5 linked regions of the Xenopus tropicalis genome follow. The protein of the gene in region 1 binds, or shares a complex with, the protein of each later gene. Links are inferred from orthologs where the notes say so. Each region holds a gene or a part of one and is shown in the gene's direction. Other genes may lie near its edges. The genes, in order: irf2bp2, banp, vgll4, irf2 and zbtb16.

Region 1 (3,942 bases):
TCATTCCTTCATTAGAACCTTTGAAGGTTCCCTCATGAATCATTACGGAAGAGAGGGGGTTAAGGGACTAGCGCCCCCTCCCCCCACAGCACACGTTACAATTGCAATGTGTTTTGTAAGCCGCTCGCTGCACTCTCTGCTCTGACCTCGCTCTTTTCCTGCTAACTCAAGCGCCCTTGGCTAAGTGATTCAGCACCCTTAATACCAGGCGGCGGCGGGGGGAGGAGAGGGAGGAAAATAAGGCACTTTCCAGTTTTAATTGCAGAAGGAATGGAAAAACCAACAGTGATAAATGCTGGCTGGATAACGAGTTTATAAAGTGAACAAGTAGTTAAAGAGTGTCCTTTGGGAGAGGGCGGGCCTTGCCTGAAACTAGTGCACATGAGAGGGAGGGCGAGGAGCAGGATATTTCTGGAAGGACTTTGGTTTCCCTCGACTCCACATTGGTTAATCATTATTTGCCTGTTTTTCTTTCCATTCACTTTGATATTACACCTGAGGGACTGACTCGCACTAAATATGGCGTGTTGTGGCACAATTGGGTACGTTTAAAGAGAAAGTATATACATGGTGTAATTTGGCGATTTTGTCCCTTTTATGTTTGCCCCATGGACAAACCACACAATTAAATGTCAAAATCCAACTTAGACATTATTCAGGACCCCCAATTATTGTACTGCGCGAAAGGGTATGCGTGTAATTGGACCGTATTCTGCGGAGACCCAGGCCATAGGTAGTGGGCTTTCACTGCCACAAAATGAACTATAAATTCATTTCTGCGAATACAATTAAAGCCTACGTTTGCATCACGCGCATCCAAGTCTTTTTCCTCCTCTCCCTCCCCTCCGCCTCCTTTCTCCCAGCTCTTGCAACAGGGCATAGTAACTGAGTCAGTGCTTCTCGTCCTGTTGCAGCTCTTGTTTGTTGTCTTGGCAGCAGTTCAAAGAAGACGGAAGGGGGGGGGTGGGGAGAATAGGGTGAAGAAGCGTGGGCGGGTACGTCAGTTACACTAAGTGCGCCTGCGCGGAGGGGGTGGTGGTTGGCCGGGGACTGTCGAAGAATCAAGTAAACAGAGAACTTGGAATCACAACGGTTGGCTCGACCGTGACGTCACCACCCTTTAGCGGCACTGCTAGCTGCGGCGGCGGCCAGAGAGGGAGGCGGGAAACTACAGCAGTGGCTTCGGCGGCTGTAGAATTACTGTCCCATACGTGAGGACATTTTCCTGTTTCGCTCCGGCAACACATTATATTTGTTCGGCGCTCACCAAGTGCACGAAAGGGTTAGCCCCGAGTTGTTGTGAGCTCCTGGCAGTTCAGGGAAGGGGGGGCCGCTCTGGTGACTGAAGCAGCAGCCTATCACCGGGCCGGCTCCCCTCCCCCCTCCTCTCCCTCCCTCCCTGGAGCTGTGCAGCTGAGGAAAGCGAGAGAAGGGAGAAGCACTTCAGAAAAAAAATATATAATAATTCCTCCTCCTCCCGTGGATCCAGAGCTGGGCGTAGTGTGTATGCTTCAAGCCGGAATCGCCAGCAGCAGCCGAGGCGGAGGGCGCCGCCGCCCCGCTCCTCGAGGCTGAGCCCGACCATTTTCTTTTCAGTGCAAGGATCATCCATCATACGGGTTGCAGGGGAGGAAAATTGCGCCGATTTCCAAATTTGGAATATACCTATTTACTGGACAGAACACACACAAATAATAAACGGTGGATTATAATTTTATTGTTATGTCGTCGGCGACGGTGGCCGCCTCCCGGCGGCAGTCGTGTTACCTTTGCGACCTGCCACGCATGCCATGGGCCATGATTTGGGACTTCACGGAGCCCGTGTGCCGGGGCTGCGTCAACTACGAAGGGGCCGATCGCATTGAGTTTGTCATCGAGACGGCCCGGCACTTGAAGCGGGCGCACGGGTTCCAGGAGGGCAGGTCCCCCGGGCCTTCGCCTTCATCCTCCTCGTCATCTTCCTCCTCCTCTTCAGTCAAGCCGCAGCTCAGCGCAAAGGAGATGGCGCAGATCGGGCACACGATGGGGGGCCCCGAGGGGGTAACACGGACCTCGCAGCAGCCCCCTCCTCCGCAGTGCCTGGACCGCTACTCGCTGGAGAGACCGCCGCCCCCTCGTCTGGGATCGGAATATGGCGTTGGCAGGCAAGTGAATGGGATTCTCTTACCCAACGGCTTCCCGAAGCCAGAGGAGCCGCCGGAACTAAACCGGCAGAGCCCCAACCCGCGCAGGACTAGCTCGGTGCCTCAGTCCCTCGGCGCACTTATGAACGGCGCCCCCATTGGCAGCGGCCGGACACCAGTCGGACTCTCTGCGGCCTCTTTGGTGGCAGCCGCCGCCGCCACCACCTCTGCGGACCTGTCTGGCAAGCGGCCGGGCTCTGTCTCCAGCAGTGAGCACGATGGCAAGGAGAAGCACAGGGCCGACAGCTACTCAGAGCTGGGCGAGAACCACAAGAGCAGGGCCGAGGAGTGGATCAGCAAGCCCAAGACGGTCAGGGACACTCTGATGGCCATGCAGCACAGCCACTCGCCCTTTGACTCCAAATTCAAGAAGGACCCCGGGCCCGGAAGGGTGCTGAGCTTTGAAGCCAACAACCCCGCTTCCAAATCTGGTATGAGGCTCTCCAATGTGTTCATGGTTGGCACCTAGACTGTAGCGAGGGAAATTCGTATTTCACATAAATGTAACGGGGCTTTTTTACATGGTCGTGAACTCAGCCTTGCACTGATACTGCGGTCTCTTGCTAAATAGGTGGGCTGAAGGGAGTGCAGACATTCCTGCTATTGGCACACGGCTTGGAGTATAGGATGCCATGTGCAGGACATGCCGGCACCGAAAGGGTGCACCCATCAGGCTCTGTGCCCTGCCCTAAAGTCAGACCCGCAGCATACATGCAACGTGTTTATCTGCTGATCTAGCAATTTGCAAGGGTCGGGGACTTCTAAAGTTTCCTCTGTTTTAGTCATTCGCCCTTTTACTGTTTAGTAAGATTAGCTTCTCTACTCGTTTTCTCTTTTATATGGCTGTATCTCTGTGTGCAAACCTTCATTGGATAAAAACTCTCAGGGACAAGGCTGAAATGATTTTAGATTTTCATAGTCTCTGGGCATTGTCAAACTTCCACCCATTTCATTGCTATTTATCAGCTTGCTAATTGTTTAGTTTTTTCTTTGGGGGGGGGGGGGGCAATTAGAACTTTGTGTAGGCAGATTTGGTCATTTTCTAATGACATGTTGCTCAACATATGCCCTGCTACTTCAGGGTGAAGGCACACAGTTACTCAGTAGCAACTACTTGTCATGGCTACTAAATGCCTGAAAATAACCAGTCATATATAATACTGAGAAATCCCTCTGCTAAAACATGCAGAGAAAATTATCAGTAAATGATCAGCATTGTCTATTGTCGTCACCCTAACTTTAAATGTTTTACAGTATTATGTCTTTAAGAATAAACATAGTATATTTGGTTTAAAATAGGGGTTACTAATCAGAATAGCAATAACCAGTTCTTACACTGTTTGTCAGAAGCAGTATGTATAAGGAATGGAAATTTCCACTCTTAGTAAGTGTGTGTGTATAAGGTATCCTTTCACATTTCACCATCAGTTGCAGTAGACAGAATTTGTACTTCACTGTAAGGGGTAGGAGCCATCTAGTGAATATTTAACATATCTTTTGTGGATGGTTTTCTTGTATGGGCCTGTTTGCCTGCTGTTAAGACATTCAAAACATTTTAATAAGACTTGTCCCTTTAAAGCTGCTTTTTTAAAAAGTCTAATCCATTGCAGTGTATACGAATCTTCTGTATTTGATGTGTGAAGTTAAAGTTGGAAAGCAATTTATGTTTATGGGAATAATATAGCGTGAACACTTTTGACAGATTTTAGAATCTGGCATAAATGTAAACATATGTCTTTCCTGCCTTTTGAGTGAAAAT
Region 2 (3,515 bases), on another chromosome or scaffold:
CTTCCATTTTACTTCTAGGCTTTGCATCTTACAGCTTCTTATTAGGGAACCATAACAATAGAAAGGCTGTGGATGAGATGGTAAGATTATAGCCCTCCAGCCACAGACAGAGAGCCAACTCAGTCAAAGCCATAACCATGAGCTTAGTTTAGGTAGGGTTAAATAATAAAGCATTAATTGTTTTATATTTTTTATTAGAAAATGCAAGTTAAAAATGATAGCATCTGTCTAACCCTGTAAGTGGCAGCTTATGTCTCTTTCAAAAATGGTGAAAATGTTGAATCTAGTACTTGTAATATAGTGCTAACTTTTTGATCTGTCCTTTTCTTTTGTTTACATGCCAATTAGTGGTGTAAATCACCTGATCCCGCTGTGACATGCAGAGAATTGATGATAACTCATTATCCTGCCTTTATGAAGCACCATTTGGCACAGGCTAGGAATATTAGTAGTTTTATAGGACTTTGAAAATGTGTAATGTGTAAATTAAACTGCACTGAAACTAAGAAAAAAAATGCAGTCAAAGTTTTGGTTTCAAGACTTCTGCGATGAAGCTGATGAAACAAGGTTTCCCATTCGCAAACTTGGTCATCAGACCTGGACACACAGGAAGGATATTCACAGGCTGGAAAAAAAAACTTAGCATTTACTGAAAAAGCTGATTACTCAACTAGGCTTCTCTTACCATAAGAAAAAGTAAGAATATTTAAATTTGCACTTGAAAAACTAAATTCTTACTAAGTATTTTTGGCAAAATATTGAAACCAAAACCATTTGCTGGCTGTATGGGTTTTGTTGAAAGTGTCTCTTTTTGAGTAATAAAATAACTACTGAAATCTTCTAAAACTAACCTTTTACTCTTGTGTTAGTCCAGATTAAAGGAGAAATAGATTGTTTGTGTAACTTGTTGGCTTCTAATTTGTGACCATTTGTGTATGTACCTAGGCTCTATCACTCTTATAACCAGCATTCTTTTGTACATACTCACAGACTATTCTGTGTCAAGCTGAATGATGACTGTAAATGGTTGACATCCTAGTTGAATGCATATAAAACAGAGCAGAATGGCTTTTTTTGTTTTTTTTTAAATATGAAAAATCTTCACCATTTAATTATATAAAAGCATGCAACATTTGATGAATATTTGCAGTAGCATTTTTGTCCCTTTTCGTCTATGTAAATATGGATTTCTAGTAAAATGTTTACTTCATTACCAATAGCTTAAAGTATTTGGACCCTGTGACATTAAAACCACTTAAAATGTCTGTTTCTTTTTTTAGTGTTGTACCGCAGACTACAGTAATACTGAACAGTGAAAGACAAACCCCAGGTGTGACTAAACTGGAGGGTCGCGAAGAGTCTATAAACAGTTCAACAGAAACCCTTGAAAACATGCTGAATAGGTAATAGTTTATTATTTATCTTCTAGCCTCCCCCGACACCAAAAGATGAATCTAACCATAGTTAGTTTTTTTTTTTTTAACATGCATCTTTATTATAAGTGTAAATAACCTATTTCTTCACAAATGACTATGATAATTGAGGTCAACTATATCTACTTTGGTAAGAGGAGTGGGAAATTGTTTCTGTCCCATCTGTTTCTTGTCTGGCAATGTCCTCTTACAAAGCACCTCTTGCTATAATTGTAGTTTTGTTCTTTTGCTCCTTTTACAGGTACTCATCTGCTTAGGTAAGCAATATGGCTGCTTAATATGTAAATAAGGTTTTCAGAGCAGGAATGTTATGCCCCCTTTTTCTAAAAACTCATTATTAAAGCCTTTTTACTGCATTTTTTAAAGAAAATTAATGAAGATAATTAAATCCTGTGTATTAAACTGTGGATTCCTTCTAAATATGGAATTTGCTCTGTATTGAAGAGTGTTACTGTGAACAATCAACTAAATGTAAAATAGTTATTAAAACTTAAAGTTACTTAAACTTAGTTTATTAGTAAAAATAACTAATAGTTTTAGACTGTTAAGGTGGCCATACACGGGCCAATTCTAGCTGCCTATATTCGTCCCTTAGACCGTTTCGGCAGTTTATCGGCTCGTGTATGGCCATTAACGACGGGCCTGCCCGACCAACATCTGGCCGGAAATCGGCCAAATCTTGATCGCCCAGTGAGCGGATCTTAGCGTGTATGGCCACCTTTAGGGTCTGTGACCACCACTTAAAAACTGTCAGAAGAGGAAGGTTAATTATTAAAAAGGCTATAAAAAATAGACAATGAAAACCAGTTGCAAAGTTGCTAGGATTAGGTCATTTTGTAACTAAAAATTAACTTAAAGTTGAACCACCCCTTTAATAGACAAAACAGTTTTACCAATCAATCGTGCCTAAATTAAACTGGCGGATTAGTGGTGCACCCTGCTGGGATCAAGTCTGGCTTGCCAGGGCCCACTGGGTTTTTTCCTAGTGCTCCGGCGGCCCAGTCCAACACATTACTTGTGACTCTTTATCTCCTTCATCTTCATTGTAGCCAATGATTCTTGAGAGAGATTGATTAGGGGCAATTCAAAGGTATTATTTAGCCCTGCAGGATATAAATCTTGTTTTAGTTTTCTCTATCTCTTTTTATTAAATCTTCCCTTTAAATTGGATTCACTTAAAATACTCTTGATTTGTGACTATCTATGAAACAATGTTGCATGCAGAAAAATGCATTTTTGGGGAAGTACTGATTTCTCTACATTCATGCAGCACCAATGTATCGGTGTTCACAAGGCAGAGTGTGATGTAAAGGATGAGCAATCGTTGCTAATTATTATGTTGCCACTGTATGAAATGATATTAATTCAAAATGTAACCTGATGGCTTTTCTCCCAACCACTTCTAACAATATTTAATGTTTTTAATCTTTTTTTTTAGTAATACAAAACATTTTATGTCACCCTGTACATATTACAGCTTTTAATACAGCTTTTAAGCTTTTTTGTTTACAGTATTATTACAAAGGTGATGATGGGTGTAGTTATTCTGCATGTTGCTATGACAACAAATATGAACTTTTCTTAGTTTTGCTATCAAGTTTTTATAGTACAATATTTGTTGCTTATTGTGTTGCTATAGTATGGGAGTTTTTTAAAAAAAAAATATTACTCTACATTTCAGTGCAGTTCCTGGAAGAAGACACAACACAATTGTAGTGAAAGTTCCTGCCCCTGAGGACAGCCACAATGATGATGACAATGACAGTGGTTCTGAGGCTAGTGATACACTGTCTAATTGCGGTAATTCAGGAAACCCAAATATGGGCAACAATGTCACCCTGATCACCTTAAATTCTGAAGGTATGTCATTATGTTTAGCTTTCAATTATTGGGGTTTTTCACCTTCGGACAAGTTTCCAAATTAGAACTGCCTAAATCACTAAAAACATTTTCCAAATTAGTTTTTTTTTTTTTTTTTTTTTAATTCCACTGCCAACAATAAAAATTTGTTTTCCCCTTAAAGGAGAAGGAAAGGTAAAAACTAAGTAAGCTTTATTAGAAAGGTCTATGTAAATACAGCCA
Region 3 (3,515 bases), on another chromosome or scaffold:
TGGCCTCTATGTACAGGATTAAAATCTCACTCCCTGGCCTCTATATACAGGATTATAATCTCTCCCTCTGGCCTCTATAAACAGGATTATAACCTCACTCCCTGGCCTCTATGTACAGGATTAAAATCTCACTCCCTGGCCTCTATATACAGGATTATAATCTCTCCCTCTGGCCTCTATAAACAGGATTATAACCTGACCCTCTGGCCTCTATATCCAGGATTATAACCTCACCCCCTGGCCTCTATGTACAGGATTAAAATCTCACTCCCTGGCCTCTATATCCAGGATTATAACCTCACCCCCTGGCCTCTATGTACAGGATTAAAATCTCACCCCCTGGCCTCTAAATACAGGATTATAATCTATCCCTCTGGCCTCTATATCCAGGATTATAACCTCACCCCCTGGCCTCTATATGCAGGATTATAATCTCACCCCCTGGCCTCTATATACAGGATTATAATCTCACCCCCTGGCCTCTATATACAGGATTATAATCTCACCCTCTTACGTGTGTATTTGCTCTGCGCGAGTAACACACAAACCCCGGGCTCACCTTAAACTCACCCGCAGTCACTTAATCCCCAGATTTACTTTGCATGTTGAGGTTTTAACCCTTTGCACAACAGCATTTCTGTAACCTACGGTTGGCTGTGGCCTTGGGAAGGGGATTCCCTGCACTCGTATTTATAGTCTGGCCGGGTTCATTTCCAGCGACTGAGGCAATAAATCTGCTTTGTAAGTTACAGGAGGGCTGGTGCTCTGTATCCGTGCCTCCCTGTGCCGTTTCTCTTTTGGGCGCCCAACTCCCACTTGTGGATAAGGTTTCATTCTTCTCATTATCCTGTATTTCTCCGCCACTGAATTCACTTGGCCTTTCCCTCATGTCCCTTCTGTATAAAAGCTGGAGCGTTATCTCTGTGCGTCTGCACCAATGGGAATAAGAATGGCAGGAAATGAGTGTCTGGGCGTCTTGGGCTCAAAGGATCCGCTGGCACTGCTACGGGAAGGTGCATTATAGTCCAAGGCTGGCAAAGTACAAACAGCTGCTTATGTAGGGTAAAGGGCGAAGACACACAGAGCTACTTAGTAGCAGCTACTTGTCACGGCAACTAAATGCCAGAATATCCCCTGCCATAGACAATACTGAGAATTGCCTCTGCTAAACACACGTAGGGACAATTATCAGTAAATGATCAGCATTGTCTGTTTTAGTAGCTGCTACTAGTAGCTCCGTGTGTCTTCTCCATTAGGGCAAAGACACATGGGGCGATTCGTCGCTGCAACAACAATCGCTTCAACTAATTGCATCGATTTAGCTGACCTGTACTAATGTACAAGTTGCTGCAACTAATTATTTGCTGCAAATTAGTAATTGCGGTACGCCAATTAGTTGCAGCGACTTTTTAAAAACTTGCATCAACTAATCGACCCGTGTATCTTCAACCTAAAGGTCTCCATACACGGGCAGATTCACCCCTGGGGCCAAACGATCGAATTCTAACGACGGGCATAGCAAAAGTCGGTCCGGGGACCACATCAACGAGCCAATGCGGTCCCCTATTCGACTAGATTTTCTAACCTGCCCGATCGAGATCTGGCCAATTTCAGGCCAGATATCGGTCGGGCAGGCCCGTCAGTAGTGCCCATACACGGCTGGTTCCCTGGGCAGCCCGGCACAATCTGTATCTGGATAAAGATCCCATTATTCCTATTATCCCTTATCCAACCTGGAGCCAGCCAATGCCTTCTCTGCCGGCTCCGTTCCGCTGGGCTGGAAGTGGAAAATTACAGACGGCTGTGGGTGCCAGATCAGGCCTGGGATGGATTGTGGGTCGCTGCTTGCTGTCTGGGTTGGCACGGCCGTGTTTGTGCTGGGGGCGGGCAGGCGTTTATCTTGGGCAGAGTCACCGCTGAGGAGATATTCCGGTACAGTGTAAATAAACCTTTCTTTACAGGGCTGTGTTTAGTGGCGGCACCGGGGGAAGTCGGGCTTTGCAGCCGTCAGTATTTCTATAAAGTAAAGCTGCCCGACCTATGGCCAACTCCTTGTATTTACTCAGTCTTGCCCCAATATTCCTCTGGGGGGTAGGGATAAGTACACTTAGCCAAGGCAGGCCGAGTAAAACCACTTGGCATTATACAAACCTCTAATCTCCAAGAAAAGAACCCATTTATTTGCAAATCAACGAACCCTGATATTTAGTAGCGAAACGGGGATTTATTGATTCTGAAAAATCTCTGCTCATTTTGAATTTGAGGGCAGCAACACACTCCAAAAAGTTGGGCAGGGGGCAATAAAAGCAGGAAAGCTGTTAATGCTAAAAAGAGTGGATCCCAGAGAGGCAGGGGGGTCTCTCAGAAGAAAAGATGGGGGTGGGAGCTCGCTCTGTGACACACTGTATGGGGGGGCAACATAAAATTGCAAAGAACTTGGGGAGTCCATCCCCTACAGTATGTAATATCATTAAAAGATAGAGAATCCGGAGAATCCAAAACCAATATTGGGTGCTGGGATCTTCGGGCCAAAGTCCATTGGGAACCCAGTTGCCCCCACTGCACCCACAAATACAAGCTCCTTGTTTCCAAAATGGTTACAGAGTGTTGGGGAAAGAAAAGGGGGTGCAGCGCAGTGGGGAACATGCCCCTCACCCCCCAACTGGTTGTTGGCAACAAATTGCAAATTTCCAGAAACAATAGGATGTCTCCGTTTCAGCATCGGATCTGTTTTGCACTATTTCCTATTAAATATCGGGGTTCACGTATTTGCAGATCATCCGGTTCTCTCTCTATTTCTGTGTCACCCACAGCCAATGGCCACGGTTTCACCTGAATTTTCTGTTCTTTCCACAGGGGAAGCGGCGTTACGGAGTGACCCCAGGGTGCAGCCCCTCCCCATGACCTCTGCTCTGTCCATTCCCCGGACAGCCCCACCCCCCATCAGCCCCAGCAAACGAAAGCTCAGCATGGACCAAGGAGACGAGGAGCTAGAATGTGACAACGACCATGTCTCCAAAATGAGTCGGATGTTTCCTCCGCACTTGTAAGTTCCCCTGGGATACAATATGGCATGGTTGTTTCCTCTATACTTGGGAATGCACCCCATAAAGCCCCCTGGAATTTGCTTTGCTAGGCCTTTAGGGTGCATATAAACAATAATAAAAATAATTCATATTTGTGTTATCATTAATAGCACGGGGGGAGCACTCATACCTTGCAGCGCCGGGGTACTGAGTTCAATCCCAGCCAGGGTGCTATCTGCGGGGAGTTTGTATGTTCCCCCTGTGTCTGTGTGGGTTCCTCTGGGTCCCCCAGTTTCTTCCCATGCTCCAAAAACATACAGGCAGGTTAATTGGCTTCTAACTAAATTGCCCATAGTGTGTGTGAATGTGACAGGGACCTTAGATTGTAAGCTCCTCTGGGGCAGGCACTAATGGGAATGCAATATTGATGATAGATTGTAAGCTCACTGGGGCAGGGACTGATGGGAATGGGATAGGGACCTTAGATTG
Region 4 (3,515 bases), on another chromosome or scaffold:
TGACTTGTCTGTATGCTGGTAGCAAATTCAGTGACAATGAGTAGGAACTGTGACTCTTTAGCTTTCCACTCATTCTTGCATTTTCTTGTTTTATTTAAGTTGTAGTAGTGGATATATTCACTGAGAGGTATTTTCAGATAGAAATATTGTAGTTTGTACAGATGCTGCCAGTCAGAGCCAGTACAGATGAGTAGTATAATGAATATGGGGCATTTTGCTTCTTCTTCTTGCATTTTGCTGCTATTGCAGATTTAAAGGCCCGCAGCATGCTTCTGAGCTGATACCATATCAGCCCTGCACAACTGGAGTGATGCTTTTTTTATAGTCACAGTTTGCTCTCTTTACACTCTGTCCCCTTCTGCTCCCTTCAGTTTCATTCATTCATTCATTTCAGTTAAAGAACCAGCAATTTCAAAAATATTTTGGTTCATCAGGATCAGACAAATTTTGATCAGCTTTTGATTTTGCACAGAAGCTAAAAGTTCCTCTTCTCAATGGCGCACATAGATGAAGCTATTTTGGTTTATTATTAATAATGTACCCCCTTTGTCAACATTGGTTTAATGTATTTGGTTTGTGCCGAACATGCGTATTGTTTAATTAGGAAATATGTATTTTTTTTTTATATTTGTTGCACAAAAAATAATAGGAAACTATGAATTTAAAGTAAATCTATATTTTACTTTCTGCTGGTTCTACACACATAATCAAAACAAATCAGCAGTCCCTTGAAAGCCCTCTGTATAAACAACCCCCCTTATTTAAAAAAGACTATGATTTCACTTTTCCGATTTTGGTAAAGGTATTAAAGTAAACATGTAATTTGACTGTTAATAATTGGCTAGATATGATTTGATAGACTTTTGTATCTACTTTTCAGGAGAAAAAGATATTTCAGATTCCATGGATGCATGCTGCTCGTCATGGCTGGGATGTTGATAAGGATGCTCCTTTATTCAGAAACTGGGCTATACACACAGGTATTGACTTCATTTATTATATTCTATGGATGAAATATTTATTTTTGGACTATGCATGTTTCAGTCATGAGGCAAAGTGACCTTTCCTCAAATGGCACATTATTGGGGTTGCAAAAAGCTGCCTCTGGTAACATTAACAGCCAAATTCCATTTTTTGACTATTCTAGTGTAGACATTGATACCCCCTCAACCTCTTTTCCTGCTCTGACAGGAAATCGACAAGTAATGGGGGAGGTGTTGGGGCATGCCTGGGTGCAGGCACATGGAGCAGATTTCAGTGCTGAAACACAGTGGCTCCAGGTGCAGTCAATGGGTTGGAATGATTCAAACATAGGAGATAATTTTTGATCTGCGTTTATCCACAGGCCTAGAGGGGCTGTTCACCTTTTACACTCTGTATATCATACTAATAGTTAAGTTATTCTGAGACAATTTGCAATTGGTCTTTTTTTTTTTTTTTTATTATTATTTAGCTTTTTATGTAGAAGCTCTCCAGCTTGGTATTTCAGCAGCTATCTGCTTGCTAGGGCCCAAATTACCCTAGCAACCTGGCTTTGATTTGAATGAGAGACTGGAATATTAATAGAAAAATGGTCTAACAGTAACAATAAAATTGTAGCCTCGTAGACCAATCGTTTTTTGGCTTCTGGGGTCAGTGACCCCCGTTTGAAAGCTGGAAGGAGGCAGAAGAAGAAGGCAAATAATTTAAAAACTATAAAAAAGAAACAATTGAAAAGTTGCTTAGAATTAGACATTCTGTAACATATTAAAAGTTAGCTTAAAGGTTAACAACTCCTCATATTTAGGACAAATGGGTCCCTTAAATTGAACCATTGTTCCACCTGCATTTGTTGCTATATGTTTTTTTTTTTTTTTTAGAAAAACAACAAAAACTGAAAGGCTGCATATTATTTACAGGTATAGGGTCTGTTATCTGGAAATCTGTTATCCAGAAAGCTCTGAATTACAGGAATGCCATCTCCTATAGACTGCATTATAAGCAAATAATTATTTTTTTTTTCTAAAGAACCTTGTACTTGATACAATTAATCCTTAATGGAGGCAAAACAATCCTTTTGGGTTTACTTAATGTTTAAATGATTTTTTAACAGACTTATCCAAAAAAAACCCAGGTTCTAAGCATTCTGGATAACAGGTCCTTTACATGTACAGACAGTATCCTAATGACTAAAGCTGGCCATACACGTGGCGATCGAAACATCGTCAGATGTGCCACACACCATTCAGGGCTGAATCGGCAGGTAAGGAGGTAGAAACAATAGGATTTCTACCTCCTTCTGCCGATTCAGCGCTGAAGGGAGATTTTTATCAAGCGCCTTCTATGGCGCCCAACGAAAATTTGCAACTGGTCCGATCGGCGAGTCGGCCGATATCAGCAGCTTCCTGCGATATCGGTCGACTCGCCGACATACCATACACGCACCGAATATTGTACGAAACGAGGTTTTGTACGATATTATCGGTGCGTGTATGGCCACCTTAAGCTGTAACTATTTTATCAGATCATCAAGGGTATGTCATTGATTTGGTTGACCAAAGTAATTCAGTCTGAGTCTGCATAAACCATCACAGGGGGTTGCTGCTTGCCTGAAGGCACTTCTAGTGTGGGTGAGATTGCTAGTAGTCATGTTGTCTGGTTAACTCCCCTGATATAAACACACACACACCAACAGCAATTCTGGCTTCAAATTGTCAGTTGCAGTGTCACTTGCTGTCTCCCTGTCCCTGGTGCGGGTGGTTCTTACTATATTAGATTATTAGGGCTGTGATTTTGGGGAAATCACGGCGCCACGTATGCCATCCCACCGGCGATTTACATACTCGCCGGTTGGATGGCATTTTGGGGAGATTCGTCGCCCGCAACAAGGGAGAATTTTTGCGGGCGACTAGCCTCTCCGTCTGCCACAGCCCTTATAATCAGAGGTGATGCTATACATTTATGTAATTACAGATAAGCTTTTATAGTCATACCTGCTCAAGTTGTGTTTGTGGTTTTTTTTTTTTTTTTTTTGAAGGGAAGTATCAACCTGGAATAGACAAGCCAGACCCAAAGACATGGAAAGCAAACTTTCGCTGTGCTATGAACTCTTTACCAGACATTGAAGAAGTTAAGGATAAAAGTATGAAAAAAGGAAATAATGCTTTCAGGGTGTACAGGATGATCCCAGTAGCAGAAAGGCCATCAAAAAGAGGTACGCCTCTGGAATTTCTATTTTTTTTTTAATAGTTTTCTTACAAATATTATATGTGATGTGCTGCTTTTTGAGATTGTAGTGATTTAGCAGTATTTACCAGGCAGAATAGGGAGCCTATGTCATGGTTAATCCTCCGTGCCAAAACATTTTTTTCCTCAACACCTCAAATTTATTTGGAGGATTAGCTCAAAACATTAACGTAACTGCCTCAAGGTACTTACTGCAAAATATGTAACCCCCCCCCCCCCCATCCTATTGCATTGCCGACCAACATGCCTTCTTTGGCTAATGCCAGATATGGCCTTTTTTATGTTTCGTA
Region 5 (4,085 bases), on another chromosome or scaffold:
ACGCAATCAATTATTTGATGCATTTAAAGGGGAACTCCGCGCCAAACACAAATTAAGCTTTTTGAAAAATAAACATAATTTCAAGCAACTTTGCAATATACATCAATTCAAAAATATGCATCTTTTGATGATTTTTAATGTAATAATATGGTTTGGAACAGGTACCTAAGCCTGGCCCCCTGTTCTCCTGCTGATCTGGCTGACTACTTTGAGATTAAAAATAAAAATTTAACAGTAGTCGACTGTCCTCAGCCTGAATCCTCCAAATCTCACAATTCCCTGCACACGTGATGTCAATAAGGAAAAGAACATCACAGTGCTTTGTGGGTAATGTAGTTCCTGCATTCTGTCTGTAAGCTGTGGAGAATTTTTTTTTTTTTTTTAACATGTGTTTTAGTCCCTCCTCCCCTGCAAATGATGCAGAAAGGGAAGAACTGTTTTGCAGCTTGATTTCAGCATATAAAAATGGTATTTATTCAGTGATATGTGGGGCTCTTTTAAAAATGTTGGTTCCAAAGCCAGAGTTCCCCTTTAAGTGCGTTCCAACCAGCATCTCAAACATGTAAGAAAAAAAAAAACCATGTGTAAGGGCCCTTAATATACACATTAATGCTATACTTGATCTCTCATTTGTCCTGCCTTACATGAACCTCATTTAAGGAGAAGGTGGGCACCAAGCCTCACTCACACCATTTGATCCCCTATATACAATGTAGGATCGAATGTGTCTCCTAGTATTCATGTCCCTGGGTCAACTGTACCTTCCTTTATAAGAATGAAAAAAATCACAAAACGAATTGTATAACGCCACTGTTCTTTTAAAGACCCTCATTAGCAATGGGCTTTAGATAAGACAGTTAAATATGGTAAAGGAACCAAGCAGCCACAGTGGAATGTCTAAAGGACACTTCTGAAAGCGCAGACAGAATACACCGGGTACAAGTAAGGGGACCTATGTGATTATAGTATTCCTTTAACAAGAGAACGCAGACTATTTATTACTGTATATAGAAGCACTCGCTGTTGTTACCCCTACAGACACATTAGCATTCACGGTTCAGTACTTAATGAATGGAAATGCTGCGAGGTCTCGGCTCATGACAAGGCTGCGCTGTTATTCTCTACCCACAGAATTCCATAAACTACCGCCTTGCCGAGAACTATTATGTCTAACCCACACTGAAACCCGCCGATTCCCTGCCGCTTGAATCTTCAGAGCACCTGATGCTCCCTTTCCAACCACTCTTGACTGACACCAACCTTCCATTCCTTCCTAGCCAGGAGTAAGCATGGCGGCCGGCCGCTCCAGCATGGGGAGAGAGAGTCACGTGGGCCAGGCGCCGGCCTGACGTCATCGTTGTGTTGATTTGCTAACCTTAAAGGAGAGAGGAGTTAGTGAGCATGAGAGCGGGCACTGCGAACTGTTTGGATTAGGCTGCTGCTTTAAACAGCGCATCTCTACTCACATACATGCCTGCAGAGAGAGCTAGCAAAGGAAGAAGCCCATCTGAGGTGAGTGCAGCTAGTGAGCCTTTTATTCCTACAAAGTGAGCTACTCCCTAAACTTATCATAAGGGCATTTCTTATTGATAGCGGCTACAAGAGGCTGTGATTGGATTGAGTGGCTGAGTACAGTAATACAATACGCTGGGTTATAGTGTTCTGATACAAGCATGCTCAACCTGAGACCTTGCTGCGTTATAGTTCTCACTGTACCTCGGCAGCCTCCGCTTGTCTGGACATTGTGGGAAAGGTAACCCTAGCCGAGGGTGGGTAGGTCACGTCTGTGTCTATAGCCATGCTTGCACTTACACTGAGGGGAGCTTGCATTGCTCAGGCTCCGGAAAGTCGGAGTTGCGCTGGGTACATGCATACTTCATGACGTTTGTCTGTTTCCCCTTTACACTGACAATGCAAGCATATTATTGTCCTGTACGGGTTTAGTTGTGCACGTTAAGTGCTCTCCCTCCATCACTTTTTATAGTGATCCCAAGTCAACTTCAGCTGCTGCTGTGTGAGATCCGTGCGCTCTGCATGGCACAAAGCGCTGGAAAAGTTCATCAGAAATCCCGAATTAGCTGCTTATTGGCAGGATAGCGCTAATTGTGTATGCGCCGCCACACTCCCGGCACACAGGAGCCCCGTTATTATCCTTATGATCACTATTATTAGGTGAGGATAGAGAGCCGGTGAGGTGCACACTTACTGAGTACTGACAGAGCTATGGCTTGCGAATACTGATTTGAGGGATGCTCTATTGTGCACTGCAGGAAAGGCTGCGATACAGTTCATCATCTTGGATTAGAATTCGTACAGATCCACATCTGGTACTAATACAGATCGCTTTTCTACAAGGCACAATAGGGCATCCCTTAGCCCCAGCGCTGTCCTGCCATCCTAGGCGCAGGCTGTCCCAGTGGGTGCACATTGATTATTGTTAGTGTTATCATAATGTCGCACACTGATTCTGAGAGCCCCGCTGCCCTACCATTGAGCAACTCACGCACATTGGGATTAACTTTAAGCGCTTTGTGCAATGCAGGGGGCATGGCGCTATTTCGCTGTAAGGTGCAGACTCCTCCGTGCGCTGCAGGGAGACAATATCATTTCTTAGAATAAATTCCGTGCGCTGCAGGGAGACAGTGAGATTTCGCTTTCCTGCTGCTGCTCTGAGACGGGCATGGTGTTTGCACTTGTTTGTGTCTGCTGGTCCAGGTTTTCTTTCGGGAGATGGGATTCTATAGAGAAACTGTGATTTATTGCGTTTTATATAGATAAACAATAGAAAATTGCGTTTGATCACCCTTGGATTGTGACATCAATATCTTGCCATTCCCACTGTCTCTTTGCATTTCATCTGTTGAATGAAAACCCGAGCTTTTCCCTCCGCTCCCCTTTTCTCGTGGAATATTTTTATTTTTGTGCATTTTTAGTATTATTCCTGTAGATTTCATTCATATGTGTGCTTTCCATTGCTTCCCTCTCTCCCCATAAAACATCATGTTCTCAATTCTATCCAGAATTTTGTTATGAAACTGCCCCGCCCCTGTATCCCTGCTGTATCTGTCTGTACAGTGCGATCTATCTGGATCGGTCTGGCCGCTAATTCCATTCTATACGAATCTTTGAGCTGGATACCGGGCTCCGTGCGCTAAAAGCCCCGCGTCAGTATTTGGTGCTCTCTACATTTCTGTCACTGTATATTGGAGGTGGGGTACGGCAGAGAGGACAATTGCAGGATATTGTCAGTATACATTTCACTGATTTTAGCCTGCAACCTTCTAGCTGTTGCTCTACTACAACTCGTAGCATCACCAGTAGGAGGGTGCTGGGAGTTGTTGTTTCACAGCAGCTGAAGGGGCTGCAGGTTGGATAACCCTGATTTGTTGGCCCTTCACCTCAGGTTGCCCTAACTGAGCTGCTCTTATTATTAAGTGACATCTTGTCACATTGCCTCATATTTTACTTATTTTGAACCCCCCCACCATTAAAACGTCTTTCCTCCAAACAAGGGTTAATATCCGTGTGATCTAATCTTCATGTTATTTATGCTATCATGGGTTTTTATGCAACATGTATGATTTCCAAAAACTTGATGTGCCAGGGGTTTAAATAGGCTAAATCTTGGCAATACACAACTGATAAAGAACTTTTAATAGTTCACTAATTAACCCTTCCAGCTCATCAAAAGCAGCTTTGTTCTGTCACAGGGTGTCTTTCCGACCCCCCCACCCTTCCTCCCATCCCCTGTCCAAAGAAAAACAAACAGGAGACTCACAACTGAAACCAATAGATCTGTTTGTCCTTGTTGCAAACCTCCAGGCTGGTGTCCTTGTTTGTAACAAACCTTCTCCTGTATGGGCATTTGCATGGGCATCGTCATGGGCAGAGCTCGCTTTGCTTTATTCTTTATACAGTACATAAACCATAACTTGCTGCCTCAATTGCTTTTTTTGCTTGTTCTTGAAAATTTGCGTGTTTTTTAACAGAGACTTAGCAGTTTCTTCTGTAAAACGCTTACGCACCCATAAAAGTCTGCAGAAATAGAATTCTTTTATGGATAGAGGTAAACTGTAGCCCATATT

What was found.
Region 2: irf2bp2 (region 1) and banp share a complex: the UniProt entries of both Homo sapiens proteins name them as parts of the corepressor complex. The link is inferred for Xenopus tropicalis from reciprocal best matches to the Homo sapiens genes IRF2BP2 and BANP.
Region 3: the proteins of irf2bp2 (region 1) and vgll4 are in contact, whole or in part, in a crystal structure (PDB 8YTF), measured with the Homo sapiens proteins. The link is inferred for Xenopus tropicalis from reciprocal best matches to the Homo sapiens genes IRF2BP2 and VGLL4. Residues at the interface, in NP_892017.2 of Homo sapiens: Thr516, His517, Phe518, Val519, Gln520, Pro522, Phe531, Leu557, Trp564, Ala565, Phe566, Met567, Glu570, Thr573, Ile574; in NP_055482.2 of Homo sapiens: Arg161, Ser163, Val164, Ile165, Thr166.
Region 4: the proteins of irf2bp2 (region 1) and irf2 are in contact, whole or in part, in a crystal structure (PDB 8YTG), measured with the Homo sapiens proteins. The link is inferred for Xenopus tropicalis from reciprocal best matches to the Homo sapiens genes IRF2BP2 and IRF2. Residues at the interface, in NP_892017.2 of Homo sapiens: His517, Phe518, Val519, Gln520, Pro522, Phe531, Leu557, Trp564, Ala565, Phe566, Met567, Glu570, Thr573, Ile574; in NP_002190.2 of Homo sapiens: Arg331, Ala332, Ser333, Val334, Ile335, Lys336.
Region 5: the proteins of irf2bp2 (region 1) and zbtb16 are in contact, whole or in part, in a crystal structure (PDB 8YTH), measured with the Homo sapiens proteins. The link is inferred for Xenopus tropicalis from reciprocal best matches to the Homo sapiens genes IRF2BP2 and ZBTB16. Residues at the interface, in NP_892017.2 of Homo sapiens: Thr516, His517, Phe518, Val519, Gln520, Pro522, Phe531, Leu557, Trp564, Ala565, Phe566, Met567, Glu570, Thr573, Ile574; in NP_001018011.1 of Homo sapiens: Arg285, Ser287, Val288, Ile289, Thr290, Ser291.

Annotation. Positions count from the first base shown.
Region 1 is NC_030681.2:55,743,062-55,747,003, reverse strand, and holds the start of irf2bp2 (interferon regulatory factor 2-binding protein 2), read left to right. Parts: upstream 1-1,132; 5' UTR 1,133-1,722; coding exon 1,723-2,614; intron 2,615-3,942. UniProt on the Homo sapiens protein: Acts as a transcriptional corepressor in a IRF2-dependent manner; this repression is not mediated by histone deacetylase activities. Represses the NFAT1-dependent transactivation of NFAT-responsive promoters.
Region 2 is NC_030680.2:65,855,081-65,858,595, forward strand, and holds part of banp (protein BANP), read left to right. Parts: intron 1-1,280; coding exon 1,281-1,403; intron 1,404-3,114; coding exon 3,115-3,293; intron 3,294-3,515. UniProt on the Homo sapiens protein: Controls V(D)J recombination during T-cell development by repressing T-cell receptor (TCR) beta enhancer function. Binds to scaffold/matrix attachment region beta (S/MARbeta), an ATC-rich DNA sequence located upstream of the TCR beta enhancer.
Region 3 is NC_030680.2:151,267,989-151,271,503, forward strand, and holds part of vgll4 (transcription cofactor vestigial-like protein 4), read left to right. Parts: intron 1-2,856; coding exon 2,857-3,046; intron 3,047-3,515. UniProt on the Homo sapiens protein: May act as a specific coactivator for the mammalian TEFs.
Region 4 is NC_030677.2:44,894,978-44,898,492, forward strand, and holds part of irf2 (interferon regulatory factor 2), read left to right. Parts: intron 1-880; coding exon 881-980; intron 981-3,016; coding exon 3,017-3,193; intron 3,194-3,515. UniProt on the Homo sapiens protein: Specifically binds to the upstream regulatory region of type I IFN and IFN-inducible MHC class I genes (the interferon consensus sequence (ICS)) and represses those genes. Also acts as an activator for several genes including H4 and IL7.
Region 5 is NC_030683.2:85,512,533-85,516,617, forward strand, and holds the start of zbtb16 (zinc finger and BTB domain-containing protein 16), read left to right. Parts: upstream 1-1,282; 5' UTR 1,283-1,512; intron 1,513-4,085. UniProt on the Homo sapiens protein: Acts as a transcriptional repressor. Transcriptional repression may be mediated through recruitment of histone deacetylases to target promoters. May play a role in myeloid maturation and in the development and/or maintenance of other differentiated tissues.